Linked DNA regions of Nothobranchius furzeri. The protein of the gene in region 5 interacts with the protein of the main gene of each other region in a biochemical or structural test. Links are inferred from orthologs where the notes say so. Each region holds a gene or a part of one and is shown on either strand. Other genes may lie near its edges. The genes, in order: ube2wb, ube2j2, ube2c, ube2z and uba1.

Evidence for each region.
Region 1: of the proteins of uba1 (region 5) and ube2wb, one has a biochemical effect on the other in vitro, tested with the Homo sapiens proteins (5 studies listed by BioGRID, with this or other methods). The link is inferred for Nothobranchius furzeri from reciprocal best matches to the Homo sapiens genes UBA1 and UBE2W.
Region 2: of the proteins of uba1 (region 5) and ube2j2, one has a biochemical effect on the other in vitro, tested with the Homo sapiens proteins (2 studies listed by BioGRID). The link is inferred for Nothobranchius furzeri from reciprocal best matches to the Homo sapiens genes UBA1 and UBE2J2.
Region 3: of the proteins of uba1 (region 5) and ube2c, one has a biochemical effect on the other in vitro, tested with the Homo sapiens proteins (5 studies listed by BioGRID, with this or other methods). The link is inferred for Nothobranchius furzeri from reciprocal best matches to the Homo sapiens genes UBA1 and UBE2C.
Region 4: of the proteins of uba1 (region 5) and ube2z, one has a biochemical effect on the other in vitro, tested with the Homo sapiens proteins (3 studies listed by BioGRID). The link is inferred for Nothobranchius furzeri from reciprocal best matches to the Homo sapiens genes UBA1 and UBE2Z.

Annotation. Positions count from the first base shown.
Region 1 is NC_091747.1:53,051,275-53,054,792, forward strand, and holds part of ube2wb (probable ubiquitin-conjugating enzyme E2 W-B), read right to left. Parts: intron 2,385-3,518; coding exon 2,282-2,384; intron 1-2,281. UniProt on the Homo sapiens protein: Accepts ubiquitin from the E1 complex and catalyzes its covalent attachment to other proteins.
Region 2 is NC_091743.1:52,925,563-52,928,143, forward strand, and holds the end of ube2j2 (ubiquitin-conjugating enzyme E2 J2), read left to right. Parts: intron 1-838; coding exon 839-879; intron 880-967; coding exon 968-1,070; intron 1,071-1,159; coding exon 1,160-1,298; intron 1,299-1,369; coding exon 1,370-1,450; intron 1,451-1,541; coding exon 1,542-1,832; 3' UTR 1,833-2,063; downstream 2,064-2,581. UniProt on the Homo sapiens protein: Catalyzes the covalent attachment of ubiquitin to other proteins. Seems to function in the selective degradation of misfolded membrane proteins from the endoplasmic reticulum (ERAD).
Region 3 is NC_091743.1:77,062,396-77,066,383, forward strand, and holds the start of ube2c (ubiquitin-conjugating enzyme E2 C), read right to left. Parts: upstream 2,810-3,988; 5' UTR 2,704-2,809; intron 2,458-2,703; 5' UTR 2,438-2,457; coding exon 2,331-2,437; intron 1,289-2,330; coding exon 1,261-1,288; intron 820-1,260; coding exon 733-819; intron 645-732; coding exon 440-644; intron 335-439; coding exon 275-334; intron 1-274. UniProt on the Homo sapiens protein: Accepts ubiquitin from the E1 complex and catalyzes its covalent attachment to other proteins. In vitro catalyzes 'Lys-11'- and 'Lys-48'-linked polyubiquitination.
Region 4 is NC_091758.1:15,254,706-15,258,915, reverse strand, and holds the start of ube2z (ubiquitin-conjugating enzyme E2 Z), read right to left. Parts: upstream 2,819-4,210; 5' UTR 2,591-2,818; coding exon 2,157-2,590; intron 1-2,156. UniProt on the Homo sapiens protein: Catalyzes the covalent attachment of ubiquitin to other proteins. Specific substrate for UBA6, not charged with ubiquitin by UBE1. May be involved in apoptosis regulation.
Region 5 is NC_091755.1:24,213,265-24,216,782, forward strand, and holds part of uba1 (ubiquitin-like modifier-activating enzyme 1), read right to left. Parts: intron 3,495-3,518; coding exon 3,348-3,494; intron 3,158-3,347; coding exon 2,981-3,157; intron 2,854-2,980; coding exon 2,746-2,853; intron 2,635-2,745; coding exon 2,554-2,634; intron 1,162-2,553; coding exon 1,009-1,161; intron 258-1,008; coding exon 92-257; intron 1-91. UniProt on the Homo sapiens protein: Catalyzes the first step in ubiquitin conjugation to mark cellular proteins for degradation through the ubiquitin-proteasome system.

The DNA.
Region 1 (3,518 bases), on a different chromosome or scaffold from region 5:
ATGCAGCCACCCATAAGGTAGACACAAAAGTTTTTCCACTTAAGTTTAGAAAAGTGGTCCTCTGGGCTTTAGTGCCCCCGCTGCAGAACTCTTAACAGATAGGTGCCAATATCGGATCATCTAGTGATGCTGAATTCAAACATTACTGTCAAAACATCATAAAAGAAAACTGAAGCTAAGACAGTGTAAGAAATGAGTGACCCTTTCAACTAGGCTGGATAAGGCTTCAGAGAGTGCAGAATGCAGCGGCTAGATTCCTGACAAACACCTCTTGACGCTGTCACATTTCACCTGTCCTTGCACGCTTGCACTAGCTGCCGGTTAAATATCGTATCCAGTTTAAGGTCTTAACCTTAGTTTACAACATCCTGAATGGTCAAGCCTCTGCTCATCTGTCAGAACTGCTCATGCCTCATGTTCCACCCAGAACCCTGAGATCAGCAGATCATTTACTTTTGTACATCCCAAAAATGAAGTATAAATCTCGTGGGGAGCGGGCCTTTGTGTTCGCTGCTCCTAAACTTTGGAATGCTCTCACCCTTAGTGTTCGACAGGCCCCAGAACTGGGTTGATTCAAGTCTGTACTGAAGGACTACTTCTACTATTTAGCTTTTGATCAATGACCAAGCTTTTATTGTTATAGAATCTTCCCTGTTGAAATGTGCTAACCTTTTAGCATTGTTTTTATTGTGACTTTGTTTTTACTCTAGTATGTTTCTTTTACATTTTTAGGTTATCCCTTTTATCTCTTTTATGATATTTATCTTGTTTTTATCTTGGGGTTTTCCTTTTACTACTACTGTACAGCACTTTGGTCAGCTGTCATGCTGTTTTTAAATGTGCTTTATAAATAAACTTGGTATGGTATGGTATGGATAAAGATCCACAAACGTGGATCTACAACAGCTTTTCTTTGAGCCTCTATTGGCGCTTACACATTAGCGTAGGTACGGGCCCATAAGGTACCGAACGGCACCGGAATTTGGTTTCACACACCGGTCCGATTAGCGTTTTCAGTGCCGAGGCGACTTTTTCCCAGACCTTCTCCCCAGCGGTCAGACTGGGACCGAGGCGACACTACGGACTGACTGGCCGGCTGAAATTACGCCTACCGCCTCCGATCTGCGAGAAGAATCAGCCAGCCGGGGGTTCCTGCATGTGCGGTTCATTTTCATGCTGGATGCTGTTGAGTTAACTTCTGTCTGTTGCACGGAGCTGCCGATCCGGAGCTGCTATTAAGTGTGGGAGCGGGAGAAAAGAATAGCTTTGTTTGAGTGTGTGTGTGTGCATGCATGCTCCCATTCTCCGCATCGGAGCTCTTGCCCCTCGCAAGCAGACAGCTGCTCAGGGGAGAAATCAGGGGGTGGGCGGCACAAGATTATGAGGGGACACAGAGTAAATTAATAAAATAATGTGGTTCAGAGTCTCCAAAAGCAACACAGCTCATGTCCGCCTTTTGGTACCTTATGGAACGGACTTTCCCGCGCGTATTAAGCGCCCCCCACAGGCTTGGGGATTTCCGCATCTTGAGAAGTTCCTCGGATTAATATGTAAACACTACACCGACCATACCAGCCCAAACTCACGCCATCCTGCCCGACCAAACCCCGACCGTTACGACGCTAGTGTGCAAGCGCCATATAAAGCACATGACACTTTGTTGGGGTCCACAATGCCCTAGGAGCTCTGATAATGAATATTAAATGAGCTGCATGCTGATTGGCTGGTTTAATGGCTCAATGACACTGCTCAAGCTAGAATCTCTGTACAGCAGTGTACAATATCCATATTATTCAATAGAAAGCTACAGATCTATCTGGCATTCATTATAAGTTTGGATATACCCTGTACATCCTGGAACGTTACATGTGTTTTCCCTTTGTTTATAAGAACATTAGCAGTAGCTCGGGCTAGCATTTTTCTGCAGTTAGCATTACTGAGATCAAAGTTTATTCATTGCGGATGTTGAAGTGGGTTGGAGCATGCTAATGTAGGGAGGTGCGTCTATGCTTATGACGCGTTAAACCAGTTTTTGTCAGGATGAACCGTTTCTCCGTGACCATTACAACTTTACTAATTTACAAGTTGCAGACTTTTTGGTACGCTACATAGACATCTCAAGTTGCCTCTATTCAACAACAAGGTAAAAGTGGTTGTTGAATTGTAGGACCCATTTAAATATGCGAACACACACACACACACACACACACACACACACACACACACACACACACACACACACACACACACACACACACACACACACACCCTTTGCTCTTACCTGAGGTGAATCAAAAGGATATCGACTACTAAATTTGAATAGCAGCTGAAATTTCTCTCCTTCATAGAGTGTACCGGGCGCTCCCTCCATATCTACAATCCACCTAAAAACAAAAAAGGACAATGATGACTAAAACATTCCCCCGGTGCCCCAATAAAGAACACAGGTTACCCAAATGTTTACTGTCGAATATAAACGTTACAGGGGTGGTAATCATATTTTCTGAACCATTGGTATTGAAGCTGCTTTACCAAATCAGCACAGCAAGTTGGCCATTCCATATAAACACAGTCAAAAGACTCTCATACCTCCGTCGGCTAGGCCACGCCCCCCAATACGGGAATGCGCATTGCCAGAGTAAATGGGAGAGCACAAATCAACAATCACATTTTTCTATGCCTAAACATCTTTGGTGTCTGTGACTTCAAATGGTGTTTTTTCTTTTTGGGACTCTGGTAGTTTGTCCTTAAGTTGAAGTGGTAGCAGCTGGCTGTTTCTCCTTATCTGATATTAATATTATATGTGCTTGGTCTCGTCTTGGTAACAAAGGCATTTTTACTTGGCCTTTAAAAATGGGACCCAATGCTTGACACAGCTTTAAAGGGTTGGATTGGGGGGTTAAACTACGAAATAGTTCCCGAGCGCAGCCGTGTCTGCAGCACACCGCGCCTCCCCACACAAGTGTGTGTGACAACTAGGGCTGCACGATATTAGGAAAACCGGCTATATTCGATAACAATGATTAAATTGCGATAACAATATTACTTGCAATAAATAAAAACTTATCTCATGAACAAAAATAATCAAAAACAAAGAAGAAAAAAAAAAACGAGAAAAGCAAAAGATGTGAGGAAAGGGAAAAAGATAATGAACAAGAAAAGGTAATCAGTGGATCCCAGGAAAAGCAGAATCAGCAAAAAGAGCAGAACAAAGCTAACTCATGTGTTTGCTAACCATCAAAATTAAGTACTGTCCGCCTCAGGGGCGGGCATCTAATCTATGAGAACCCACCCTTTTGGCCAAATGGGTGAAGAGCTCTATTTGATTTGTTAAAAAAAACATCAGGCTTCCATTTGATTGACAGAATGCATTATGTGTAGCAAACATTTGAGCTGATCATTCATTGCGATATTTATCTGTTCTTTGTGATATGCATATTGTGCAAGCTGATATCGCGATAACAATATATTTACGATATATTGTGCAGCCCTAGTGACAACTATGGGACTTTAATCTT
Region 2 (2,581 bases), on a different chromosome or scaffold from region 5:
CATCGAAATGAACTGTTTAATCTGCCCATCATTTGTGTTGAGAGATCAGCAGCGTTTGGATCAACAAAGGGTGACTGCTTTGATAGTGGAAACTGTATTTATGGCTTATTTTTGTGCATTTAAACTTCAGCCGCCATTGATAGTTGTTAAAAGTTGTTAAACCTGTGCATATGAAAAGAAAAACGCTTTTTGTTATCGATTTATTGTGAAATAACGGAATTTTATTTTATTGCTTGCTCCCTTTCCTGTTGGGCGGTTGTGATTTCTGTCCATTGACTGCGGAGGTGCTCCGGCGTCCGGCAAAAATAGAATCGATCCTATTTTTGCCGGATGGCGGAACGGAGGGCGGCGCACTGCGCCGTACGGCCGCAGTAGTGGAACAGCTCTGACTACAACAGGACCGTTTTTGCTGCAGAGTTCGTGCCGGAGCGGAGCGGAGATAGTGGAATTTTGGGGTAATGGCATCCGTTGGTAAGGTCTTACTCAAAAACAAAAATGCCTCTTGCTTGCTAACTAACATTTTAGTGTGCAGCGCCTTATTTGGTTGTAATGCCTTGTGAATGCGCTTTATAAATAAAATTGGATTGGATTGGATTGGATTGTAATGATTTAGGTATGTCCTGCCCCCTGTGAGGGAAAATACACGTCATCACTTTAATCCAAAACTTTCTTTTTATTATAAATACAGACTCAAAGAAAAATACTCCTTTTTCAAGGAAAGTGCATTACAAATTAGTGTGTTTCTAGGCAATTGGTAATAATAATAAAAAAATCCCAGTTTTTAGGATATTTGGTATGTTTTATGGTTTTATTCATTGTATATATTTTTTTTCTGTAGGCACTATGTAGTCAGAGGTCCTGAGAAGACTCCATATGAAGGTAAGTATTTCTCATTACGTTTCCCGAATTGAATGTGTTTTCTCCAACTTTGTTTAATATTTTGTATTTTTGTCTTGTCCGTTTTCAGGGGGATATTATCACGGAAAACTCATATTTCCCAGAGAATTTCCTTTTAAGCCACCGAGTATTTATATGATAACACCAAATGGGAGATTCAAGTGCAACACGAGGTGAATCCCTACCCTTTGTGTCACTGATTGAAGACGGAAGCTTTTGAAGATGCTTTCATTCAGTTCTGTTTTTCTCTGTTTGTCCACAGGTTATGTTTGTCCATCACAGACTTCCATCCGGACACGTGGAATCCTGCTTGGTCAGTCTCAACGATCCTCACGGGTCTGCTCAGCTTTATGGTGGAGAAAGGACCAACACTTGGAAGCATTGAGACATCCGACTACACGGTGAGTGGAACAGGTGAGAGGATGGCGTGTAGCAAAGTAACAACAAATCAGTGGTGTTTTTTTCTCTCTAGAAAAGACAACTTTCAGCCCAAAGCCTGGCCTTTAACCTCAAAGACAAAGTGTTCTGTGAGCTCTTTCCTGATGTTGTGGAAGTAAGTATAAAGCAAGCACCACATTTCAGGACTTAAATGTCATCTTTGTGACATTTGATTTCAAAGTCTCCCATCTCTTTACCTTCACCAGGAAATCAGGCAGAAACAGAAGGCCCAAGAGGAGTTAAGTGTCCGCTCCCAGCCCCTTCCTTTACCCGACGTGGTACCTGATGGAGACCCTCAACATGCCCACTATGGGCTCCAGGCACTCAACGGAGGGCCAGCACCCGTGGGGGGTGCTAACCCCGCCCCTGGCCTGCAGCAGGCCAATCGAAACCACGGACTTTTAGGTGGAGCTTTAGCCAATCTGTTTGTGATCGTAGGCTTTGCAGCATTTGCGTACACGGTCAAATACGTTCTGAGGAGCATAGCCCAGGAGTAAAAGGAGCAGTCCCCTTCTCCCTGGAGCAAGCCAGCTAAATGACTCCAAACTATACAAACACATTATGAGGAGGAGGAATATTCCCCCCCTGAGCTAACCCCCTCCACAACAGCGACTACCACCGTGGACTTTGGAAGACAGAAACGAACCCTCTCTGGACGGTCTAAGGTTGGATTGGAGTGGGAGGGTCAACGGGGGCTCGGAGGGGTTTATTAAAACGGTTGTGATCCACTTTGTGCTGCAGTGGTTTATATTAGTCCTGGGAACAAACTTGGCTCATGGGTTGAGATTTCTGCCTAAATCCTTCAAAACAATTCTCACCATTTAGTAGCCGTCCTGAAAACGGAGGACGGAATTTTTAACAGTCAAAGACGCGCCGCATTTATTAAATCTGATAACTATTTGCCAAAGCAGACGAAATCATAAATATCACAGCTGTCAAGACTTCATATGTTTTTATTTAGAATTATTGTAGGATAATATATAAAAAATTAATTCATTAAAAGCTTTATTTAGCTTGAAATTTCATGAAAATTATCATCTGAGTCCCCTAGGTGTTGTCTGACTTCAGCGTTGGCTCTAAGCCTTTTCAGGATAGTTTAGTTTTTTTATTTTTATATGAATCCGTTCACTTCAGCTTTTCTCGTGTTTGAGGCGAAGTCTATTAAAGTAGTTTGATCCTCAAATGTGAGTAACTTCATCAGGTTGTAAAGTCTTTCTCACGGTGTCAGACCAGTGTACTTTTAAAC
Region 3 (3,988 bases), on a different chromosome or scaffold from region 5:
TAGACAATAGGCAGCTACAGCTTATAAGCTTGACTCTCCCATTTCCAGTTAGAACTGACAAAGCTCCTCGGATGAGAAGCGAAACGTCTTCAAACCAAAGAAGTCCAGTCACTTTCATTTGAATCCTTTTGGGTTACCATGACCTGGATGACAGAACCTTCACCAGCAAAGTCACAAAAGAGAACTGCTCAAAAGTACCCAAACACCGATTGTATTAGTAGCTGGCCGTTCTCTGGGTTCTGCTGGCTGCCTGAAAGGTTGTGGGTGTACTTACCACCTTGGTTGCTCCACAGTTCTGCTGCGGTCGTGTTCAGAGGACTCTCGTTGTTTGGTTCTGGGGAATACAGAAGGAATTGTGTGCTGCTCTCTGAGCTGTGCAAAGATGGCTCTGATGGATCCATCAGGTTTTAGCAGACAGCAAACTGGTGGTTCCGGTTACCTCCCAGTAGACTCTGGATGGACAGCAGGATAGAACGAACATCGTACAGTGCCGACCACTTGTCCTTCAGGATGTCGAGACAGATGAAGCCCTGATCGTCCACATTGGGATGGAAACACGGAGTGACGAACTTTACCCGAGGAGCATGGTACGGATACCCAGCTGGAAACTCCAGAGACAGACGGTACCGGAGGCCTTCGTACACCTGGGCACACAGGTAAGAGTGTCGGGTGAATCAGAGCAGCAAGTGGAGGGGTCAAGTTTTAGATCGTGCTGTATTTATGTGGTCATACTGTTCCTTGGGCTCCATCGATGGTTCCGACCCATTTGAAGAGATTATCCGATTCTGGAAAAGCAGAGATGCCCTTATCACCCGACATCTACAGGAGGGAGGAACGCACAGGTCACATGACCTCAGAAATATCAGGTTTTGTTGATTTTACTAATGTCAGGTATGTTGGTATTGATGCTCCTGTGTGAATGATCAGACCAGAGAAATCAATCACAGAAACAAACAAATCATTGATAAGTGTCTGGATGAGAACGGAGCAGCTGACCTGCAGATGACTAACGCCACCTGTGCACTTCAAGCTAAACACTCATCCTAACCAGCACCAACTCTGCATTAGTGTTGAGGCAGGAGATCGTGTGACTATGGGTGCATCAATCAATGAGTAAACACCACCACCCAATGAGGATGAACTTGTGCAGGTCATCAGGTTCGTTAACATTCTGACTAACAACTGTCCTGTGACCCGTTAGGATCGTCCATCTTTCATTTTGTTATTGAAACCAAAATAAAACTATAGATGTGAACTTACCATGAGAGTCATCAGCTCCTGCTGCAACCTACACACACACACACACACACACATACGAATTAAACAAGTGCAACACAGGTCCAGAAATAAGCTGCAGTAATAAGATCAATAACAGAACAATTTGTTTCACAAATAAAAAAAATTCAAGCACCTGATCAGTTAACAACTCAAACTTTCCTGTTTCATAAAATTCATTTTTGTGATGAATAAAACCAGGAGAGATCAGATTTCTTCAGTTTTAGGATCACTTCATTAGCTAAAATATCCAGAATTGAGTTTCAATTTTATTTCCAAATCTGAAGGATCACGCTTTTTCGATTAATGATGCTCTTGTTCCAGATGTTCCCAGCAGAACACTTGGCTCTCAGGCTGCTTTTTACTTGTGGCTTCAACTTTCCAGCGGTCCTAAAAGTAGTAAGGAGGCAGAACTTCCAGTTCTCAGGCTCCTCTGGTGGAACCAGCTTCATGTTTCCACCACATCAAGCAGAAGCACCTTTGCGTAGACTCTAGGTTAGTTTAGATTATCCTGGCACATCTCTAGTTATGCAGCTGCAGGCTCACATTGCTGGAGAACTCACTGGGTTATTGATATTTTATTGTCCAAAGAAGAACCAAGTCCAGCAGAAACGTAGACCGACAGATGGCGTTTCATGTGTGTTATATATCTCCAACTAAAGTTTAGAGCAAAACATTCACTCCCACTCAGAATTAACTGCTTCTACGGAGCCGCTGGTTCTGAACAACATCACACACACACACACACACACACACACACACACACACACCACCTTAGTTCCATCAGTACACAGTGTTTAAGTTATTCTTGTTTAAATTGTGTAGAAGTACATTTCTTTAACTATTTTAAACCTGACTCTCTCTCTTTCCTTGGAGTTAGTACAAAGTGTTGCTTAATCCCTGCAATAAAAAGTTCCGATCTTCTGAACAAAGATCCATCAGATTGATATTTCATATTTCTATGGAATCTCACATTTTATGGTTCAGAAGTAAGATGTAAACGACCCATTCTTTACACCTGTAAGGTTCCGGTTCTGTAACGGCCCGGAACTCACCGTTTGGTCACCGAGCCTCTGGTCGCGTTGCCACTGCTTTCGCTGCCTTTCAGAGCGGCCGTGGAGGAAGCTGCAGCCGCGGCGGGGTCCATATTCTGGGAGGCCATGAATGCTGCTAGTCCGACTCCTGCCGAGGACACAGATATAACATCAGACGGACTGAGCAGGGGAGGCAGGCCGAACCGAGCCGATCAAATCCAACCGAGCGGGCCGTAGCTTCTGTAGCTAACAGCAGCTACATGCTAACTCCCGGAGATTTCAGAGAAAACGCTGAGCCGTGCCTCGTGGTACCGGTCAGAACCACTGGCTCTTTGTCTTCATGCTAACACATGATTACATTTATAGCCATACTATAGCTGATTTAAACACTCACCGGTGTTCAGTTCGTGGTGGAAGGCTGGATTCTCTAGATTCAAACCGATTCTTCTGCCGCCCCCAGTTTAAAACGACGTTTCCTCACAAACAGCCAATCAGTGTCTGACTTTCAAAAAATGAACTACCCTCATCGAACCAATGAGAAGATGGTGATTAAAAAGCTACACTGTAATTGGCCAGTAGAATCAGCCAGAACCCGCCCCCACCATCTAGGCGTTCACACAGCGGAAGTCATTGGTTCAATTTGTTATTTTAAACGCGTTTTTTAAATAAATGAACTTAAAATCTAAGTTATTAAACACATTTTTGTTTACCCCTCCTCCTACAGGGATGTATAAAATCTCCTAGAAGAGTCAAGAGCCTAAATCAAGTTAAATGATGGATCACAAAAATTGGAGCTTGGGAGGATGAGTACACCTGCAGAGGGTCAGAGGGGAATATATATATATATATATATATATATATATATATATATATATATATATATATATATATATATATATATATATATATATATATATATATATATATATAATGAAGTGGCTGATATCAAGAAATCCTACCAAGAACTAGAAAGAGCTGGTCTGAAGAATAGCACAGAGGCACTCATCATGGCTGCACAGGAACAGGCCCTGAACATCTACCACACCAGACAAGACCCAAGGTGTAGAACCCTGAGACAATCCACCACATAACTGCAGGGTGTAAGATGCTGGGAAGGAAAGCATACAAGGAACGCCACAACCAAGCTGCTGGCATAGTGTACAGGAACGTCTGTGCAGAGCATGGACTGGAAGCCCCAAGGTCAAAGTGGGTAACACCCCCTAAGGTGGTTGAGAACAAGAGCCAAGCTCTTGTGGGACTTCCAGATCCAAACTGATAAAATGGTGATGGAGAACCATCCGGACATTGTGTTGGAGGACAAACAACAGAGGACAGCTGTTGTGGTTGATATAGCGATACAAAGTGATGTAACCTCAGGAAAAAGGAGCATGAGAAACTACCTGGGCCTCAAAGAAGAACTTGAGAAAGCCTGGAGAATGAAGACATCGGTGGTGCTCATGGGCATCAGGGCAGTAACCCCCAGACTGGAGGAATCCCAGGAAAACCATCTCAGTCCAGAAAAGTGCAGCTCTAGGAACAGCTAAGATACTGCAGAACCCTCAAGCTCCCAGGCCTCTGGTAGAGGACCCAAGCTTGGATGAGACCACCCGCGGAGGGTGAGATGGGAATTGTGTGTGTGTGTGTAAGCCCATGTTTATTTTTTCAAAGCAACAATAATA
Region 4 (4,210 bases), on a different chromosome or scaffold from region 5:
TGGACAAAAATCCTAAATCATTCTCCGTTCTGGGTTTGATGTTGTACCTCTAAATGCAGCAGCACTTTGTTTATAATTCAGTTGCACGTTCTGCTTGTTTGAGCAAATAAATGAAGCTTTAAGAAGTTTTATTTCTAGAATGTATTTATTATGATTGTCATTAAATTGAAGTTGGACAGATGACGTGATTATGACTTGAAACTTCAAAGTTAAGGACTTGGACTTGACTTGGACTTCCACATCATTGACTTTGGACTCTACTTCGACTTGGACTTGACTGAAAAGACTTGTGACTTACTTGTGACTTGCAAAGCAGTGACTTGGTCACACCTCTCCTGGAAGCTAAAGATGAGTATATTAGAGCATCCTGGTGCAATAAGCTAAACTTTTATGAACGACCCGATTAGTCGACTAATCGCCAGTTTTGTTGGCGATTAGTCGACTAATCGTCAACAAAACTGGCGATTAGTCGGTTATTAAAATAGTTGTTTGTGGCAATCCTAAAGATGTCGCAGCAAGAAGAGACGGAGAAAAATGAAAATACCAAAAATAAAACGGCCAGGGCTGCACATAAAATATATTTTCTACAATTTTTTAAATATTTTTTAATAATTATCTATATTGATGAATATAAAAACATTTTTAACGAACTGCGCTGCTCTGGGCGGCTGCATGTTGGAGTAGCTCTGTTGACTGTATGTAAATTTTGCCTTTTCTTGGGCATTTTTTCTTCTAGTTTCTCAAGAAAATCTGTATTTGTTTTGACATTTTACTTTTCCGTTTCTGGTGCTGTGAAGCTTGGAGGATTTTTACTGCTATTTTTTAGGTTTTCTCAATTTTTGAGCATTTTTTATGATGCGTAACCATGGCAACAAGCTGGTTTACAATCAGGAACAACTGATTAACATTGGAAAGGCTGAAATAATACCTCAACTGAAGCCACAAATCCCAAATGAGCTAAAACGCAAGAAGCGTGGGTGCAGAGCGGGAGCTAAACAGAGACGGAGAAAGAGGAAATTCAAACAGTCTCTTCCATCGATCATAATGGGCAATGTGAGATCACTGCCCAACAAGATGGAGGAACTCCAAGCCCTTTCAAGGACTCAGCCAGAGTTTCGGCAGTTTCGGAACCGCTGGAGGAGATAATGCAAAGAAGGATTCTCCAGAGAATCAAGAAAATGATGGACAACCCTGAGCTTTCTCTTCACAAGACTGTCCGACAATGAAAGAGTGTCTTCAGTCAGAGGCTTCTTCAGTTTGGCTGCAACACTGACCGCTACTGGAGATCCTTCCTGCCAACAGCCATTGTAATATACAACAACTCTTTGATGACTTGATTATTATTATTATTCTGAGCTACTACAGCAATCAATTTCCCTCTGGGATTAATAAAGTAGTTTTGAATTTGAATTTGAATATTTTTCTATATCGTCCAGCCCTACACTAGCGTTTTTTTATTATTGCAGAAGGCATTCTGCTTTCATTTCTGTTGTGATCCAATGACAGGTGTGTCGGTGCTACGCGTTTCCTTACCTTTTACAATTTTATTTATAGTCATATTGTAACCTATGCAATCTTTTAGCACAGGGGAGATCCATGATCCCATCAGCAACACATTTTAGTCACTAATAAACCAGGTTTCCTTGTGAGTGACGTCAGAATCAGGTTCTATTTCCTGGTTTTACTTCTTTGGTTAAACACTTTCGGTTTTCCCCAGCATGAAATGACTTTTGGGTCCTTAAACACAGTCACCAAAATGATTTCTTTATTTTGGCAAAGGCAAACTCTACAGAAAATATTCTTATTAAGCTAATAATCGTTTTGCAGACCTCAGTGACGGTTAGTAGGAAAGCCTTGGAGCTGAATTAAAGGCAAGGTAGCTTATAGCACATTTCAAACAAAGGGCAATTCAATATGCTTTACAATTAGCATGAAATGTCACAACAACAACAAACATGAGAACCCAAATAAATTTATAATTTAGAGCTAAAAGGAAAAGACAGAATTAAGGTTGAGTAATCAGAGATTAGACAGCGGAGACGATGCAGCACAAGAAACAATTCATTCAAAGGCTAATGAGTATCTTATATAGAAAAAACACACATGATAGAAAGGATCCAGAAATAATTTAAGGCTTGATTAAAAACAGAATTTACCTCTTTATCCTCAAGATGCACTGCTGGGAAGCCTTTTCGTTGTCCCAGTCTGTGCTGAGGGTCGGATCCCAGGAAGTGGCGTGGATCTGGGACAAGAGGCCCCCTCCTGCCACCCCTAGCCCCACGGTGGGCAGAGAGGAGGACGCGTGCACAATCGGAGACACTGCCATAAAAGGTGGTGATGACCCCGTAATAAAGGTGTTTCCAAAGCCGACAGCAGACGCGACAGGAGCCAAAGCAGTTAGGCCACTCTGTGCGGTGGTGGCGGGTGGAGGAGAGGCCGAGTTGGCGCTGGCGTTTACACCGCTTGCTGCTGAGTGTCCCTCGGGAAGAGAGTTGGCCAAAGTCGGCAGAGGAAAGGTTCCACTGCCTTGTTCGGTGACGCCTAAACCAAAGGCACCACTGCCACACTCCTCTCCAAAGCTATCCGCCATGGCTCACGAGCTAGCAAGCTAGTGTAAATCCGCTGCTGCCTACCTTGCAACGCTAGGTGTTAGCCTCATTGGTAATAGAGTCTGAAGTGACCTCCGAGTGTTTCATTTCTCATTGTGATCAGAGAACACGCAGGCAGGTAGGAGGCATGGCAGGGCTTCCCGCGGATGATGGCTACGTATTATTTGCTAAACTGTATTTATTCCTCCCGGGCCTCCAGAGAGTTCCGTGTTTAGCAGAGCCGCAGCACCCACCTGGTTACAGACATGAACACCAAAGGTGTTGTTAACTCGTTGGTTATCTGAGGAAACAGGATGTTAAATGGCTATCAACTCAATACATAAGCGCCGTTCGAGCAACATACCACAACTTCAAGGGTTTTTTCCTCATGTCAAGTTTGTTGTTACGGTAACGACGTAACATCCGGTCAGGACTTCAAAGTAAACGTCCAATTTAAGCGCTTTACTTCATGTTAGACCTACAGGTGAACCTCGAAAAACGAGAATCTGGAGCAAAAATGCATCAGTGTCAGTAATACAACCTAAAAGGTGAAACGATGACACAGATTCGTTCCACGCAAATCCAGATGTTTCAGCCTTTATTTCTTATAACTGTGATGATTACAGCTGAAAACCCTGAATATCAGACTGTGATCATACGTGATTACGCAAAGCATTATGGGATGTGTGCGGACATGTTGGAAGCTTGACAAGTGTAAACAAAGCGTGAAACAAACAGTACTGTCGCAGAGAAGAAGTGGATTTGGGTGAAAGAAAGTGTTAAACAACATTATAAAATCCCTAAAGGATGCGGAATAAACAGGGATATGTTATAGAAATATGTCGGGGACCGGAATGTGGACAAAATCAGACTTATAAATGGTTTGGATCCATATGATAAACCTAAGACTGGAGCACCAATGACATATTTTTTATCGCTGCAGTTCTGCATAACGAACATTTTCGGCTATCTTGTTTGTGGTGTGATGTAAATGTCCAGATGAGAGGTAAACATTTTATTTGCAGGATTTTCTAGTAAAACAATCAAAATTGTTATCCTATAGAAGAAGTGTAGCAGGAGAAGTTGTGTTGTGTGTCAGCGCGCCCGCATTAGCTTACCGGTATGCGAGTGCAGCCTCTGTGTGTGTGTGTGTGTGTGTGTGTGTCCGTGCGTGCGTGTGTGTGTGTGTGTGTGTGTGTGTGTGTGTGTGTGTGTGTGTGTGTGTGTGTGTGTAGACAAATAAAAACTTGAATGTATGTGGACATTTTAGCATAACCAGATAACAGAGTGAATGAGTCTTTGAAATATAATGCTTAATGTTTTATATAATCATGTGATTGTCCCATATATGCTGGATTGCACTGAAATTTGTGGATTACATATAAACATACACTAATCCATTTATGATTTTACAAAAAATTAGCAATCATTAGTCTAAGTAGTCAGAGCTCCAACCAATGCATTATTGGCTGTGGTACAAATATTAAAATTGGGCGATCTGGCTGATTATAGGACTCTACAATTGGTCTATAAAGCTCATATGAAATCAACTATCTAAGCCAGTGGTTCCCAAACTTATTTAGCCGCGCACCCCCTTCTATGTCCCGACCATGTCGACGCCC
Region 5 (3,518 bases):
CTATAAAAAGATGGTTTGTAACAGAAAAAAAGCCAAACTGCATTCCTTCATCAGCGTGCGCATGTTTTAAGCAATTTAAAGTTCATCTTACGTGCATCAACATTGTCTAGTGCATTGGCGACGCCATCGAGGCTCTCAAAGAAGTCATCATCGTAGACCTTCTCCGTGTCGGGGCCCACTCGGTTCTGATGGCCTGTGATGTTGATGGAGGGGTTCATCTTCTTCACCGCTGCAGCAGCTGTGTCACTCTTCATTTTCTGTTGAAATATATAAAAACTAGATGTGAACGCAGCCAAGTCATCTATGAACTTCAGAATGTTATTTTAATAATGCAACATTTAGTAAATTCTAAAGAGGTAAAAGTAACAACACACCTTCCTGCTAGTGATGCATGATTGAGGAGTATTCATCAGCAGTTTAACTATTAACTGAACTAAAGCATCAAACAGAACACCAGGAGTTACTGTTGGCTGCAGAAACAACTCGATGATCCTTCAGACAAACAGACGTTTACTGAGCCAGATATTTAAAATGTTGACACATCAGTGCAGAACACCTGATGCCATTTTTCAGCAACCAGTTTCGTTTCTGTCCCTAACAGAATTGATGCATTTATGAAGACAGACTCCTACAGACAAACAGGTCCATGTCCTGCACTGCTGGACGCAGTTGGATTTCCTTGACCGAGCGCGTCTACAACTCCAGACATTTCAGGATGTGCTGTTCAGCCCGTTTTAAAGCATATTCTTTAGTGGAAAGACCCTGTTGATTTAATGTGACTACTGTGTGTGTGTGTGTGTGTGTATGTGGTGGTAGTAGTAGTAGTAACAGTGAGTAGTCCAACATAAAAAAACGGCAGCAGTCTGGATGTCTCTGATATTTTAATTTAAACAATTGCTAGCGCCCGTTTGGTGATGATTAATAAATAAACATCCAGACGTAGTGCATAAACGACTGACACCTGTTTGTGCTTTACATCTGAGCTACTGAGCAGTCGGTGATACTAACAGTAACATCTGAGGGTCTGAAGAGGAACTGTCTGTTGAGATTAGATTTCTCTATGGTGTCCATGTCGGTCACAATGACCTCGCCGTTCCCACTCGCCAGTCCAATCATGGCAAAGTTTTTCAGCAGCTCACAGCCGATGGCACCGGCTCCCACCTGGAAGGATTTCAGACAGAGGATGCAGTGAGTCAAGCTACAAGGGCCATTTCTCTACATACATACCTGCAGCATGCCCCCCCGGAAAAACATTGGACATTTTATATTTAAACGCATCAGTCTGGTGCATTTTTGGGGGGAAAGTAGTTACAGGCTGGCAGCTATGTATGATGAAGTATCTATACATGTTCATTATAATGACATATTTGAGTTAATGTTTTCCTGTCCTTTAATCCATTATGAACACAGACTACAGTGAAATCCACTAATGCATCCATGCTGCTCAGTACCAGAACTGCACTAGATACCAAAAGAACCAATCAGCTGGTAGGGCTCAATGATGAACGTGTGAGCTGCAGAACTTGAAAAACTACGTGACACAATTTAAGGAACAAAGTAGAATCCAGCTGCTGTTATTTATTTGTTGTTGGTGTTCATAGAAACTAAATATATCTGCAGGGCTTTAGGCCCAGGGCAGAGTTTTATACCTCAGACCAGCTTTAGATCATGACCCGTTATTAATAACATGTTCTTTACACCAATCTGAATATTCTGTAATGTTCACAGACATCCACACCGTAGAAATTAAATATAATCAATATTAAAATAAAAATTAATATAATTTTTTCATCAAGATTAGTTATCTGTTATACTTATTTACATTTGATGGTAATATGATTAATAATATTTAATCTCATCTTCCATCATTTGTGGGTTTAGTGCATTCCCTTAATATTAATTATAAAATTACAAATAACAGGTCACTAGTCTGGGCATAGACAGTGTTTCTAGGAACTAACGCTTGTTCAGCAGCTCACCTGTTCCACTGACAGGAGAAATCCTCTCATCAGCAGGTGATCAGCAGAGCGTCATGACTGAACACAGGCCCGAAAAAAACAAAGAGACAACTAAAAACACCGACCTCAGATCGGCCCACCGGGAATTTGGGTCCTGGTTCCGCTCATTACGTTAACTCTCATTGTGATATCAGAGCTTTATTGGCTCTGTTAGAATCCCAGCGCCTGGTGCGGGCGCAGTTTGTTTGTGCGCACCGTGGGAGCGAGCAATGAGCGCACGCGTTTTTGCAGCTTGGGCGGTGCAGAAACACGTTTCAACAATACCGGTGCGCGTTTCAATTAGAAACAGGAGAGAGCGAGAGACTACTAAACCCAAGCGAGCGCAATAAGAGATTTTGACTGAACTTTTTTCTGATTATTCCAACTGACAGATTTCCGTCGCCACGACGGAGAACTCAATTCCTGCTTTAACCCATGTAAGGCCAAAAAATACAAAATTATTATTAGTCTGTGTACTTTTAAAGTTACTGTAGTGCCACCGTTTTCAGACATTTTTAAAGGCACTTCCTGTTTAAAAGTCCCTATTGTGACTCACCAGGAAGTAGCGCTGGTTGGCTAGCATATCCTGAAGCTTTGTGCCAAACACGGCGATCTGCCCGTCATAACGACAGTTCCTCTAGAAAAGCAGAGACGTAAAAATAAAAAAAGGTTAACACCGAGGTTTTCCTCAGCAGTCGTGTGGTTTTGTCTTCAGTGAAAAACACTTTAATATTCTCTGAACACTGACAGGCGAGCACTCTTCCTCTGTGAGCATGACGTCGTCCCCTTCAGACAGACACTCCAGAGCATCAAAGTACAGCCACTGCATCACAGGCATAAATTTCCCCGTAGAGGCCTGACAGGACACAGAATGTAAAATATTTAACAAACTTATTTGTACTGATCACTTTGAACATTCAAGTCTGGTTAAAAGGTTTTGGATTTTTATTCTGCAGCTCTTAGTTTATGCATTTTCCTCCAACCTTCATCACTTCTTGTGCAGCCACGCCCCCGATGAAGGCATTGATAGGAGAAAGATCCCCGGCGGCGACATAAGCCATCTTCTTGATGAGCGCTTCGTTCAGCTGCTCCACTTTGGCAGAGCCCGTCTGAGCAGAGTTCACCTCCTTGGCCAAAGTCAGTAACTCTTCACCATCAGCCTGGAAAACACAAAGCTCAGCAATTTACCAATCTCACTAAATCAAATACACACTGGCACTGCCCATGCATTCTGCTGAGTTATCACCAGGGCTAGCCATTACAAAGGCTTCCAGGATAGCTCCTGTGGAGCCAGTCAATCAAAAATATACGTTAGATACTAAACCTCCAACTATGCAGTCGGACAGATACCTGGCTCCAAGGTGCCGGAAGGCGGCTGTGTTTCTTCTGGAATGCATGGATCGCCTGGAAGCCTGCATGAAGTTGTCCTGGATGGTCAAATTTAGCAAAATCTGTCAGCATGAACTCTGGCTCGGCCATGGAGGTGCAGATGGATTTCTGCAGAGGAAAAGTGATGGTTAT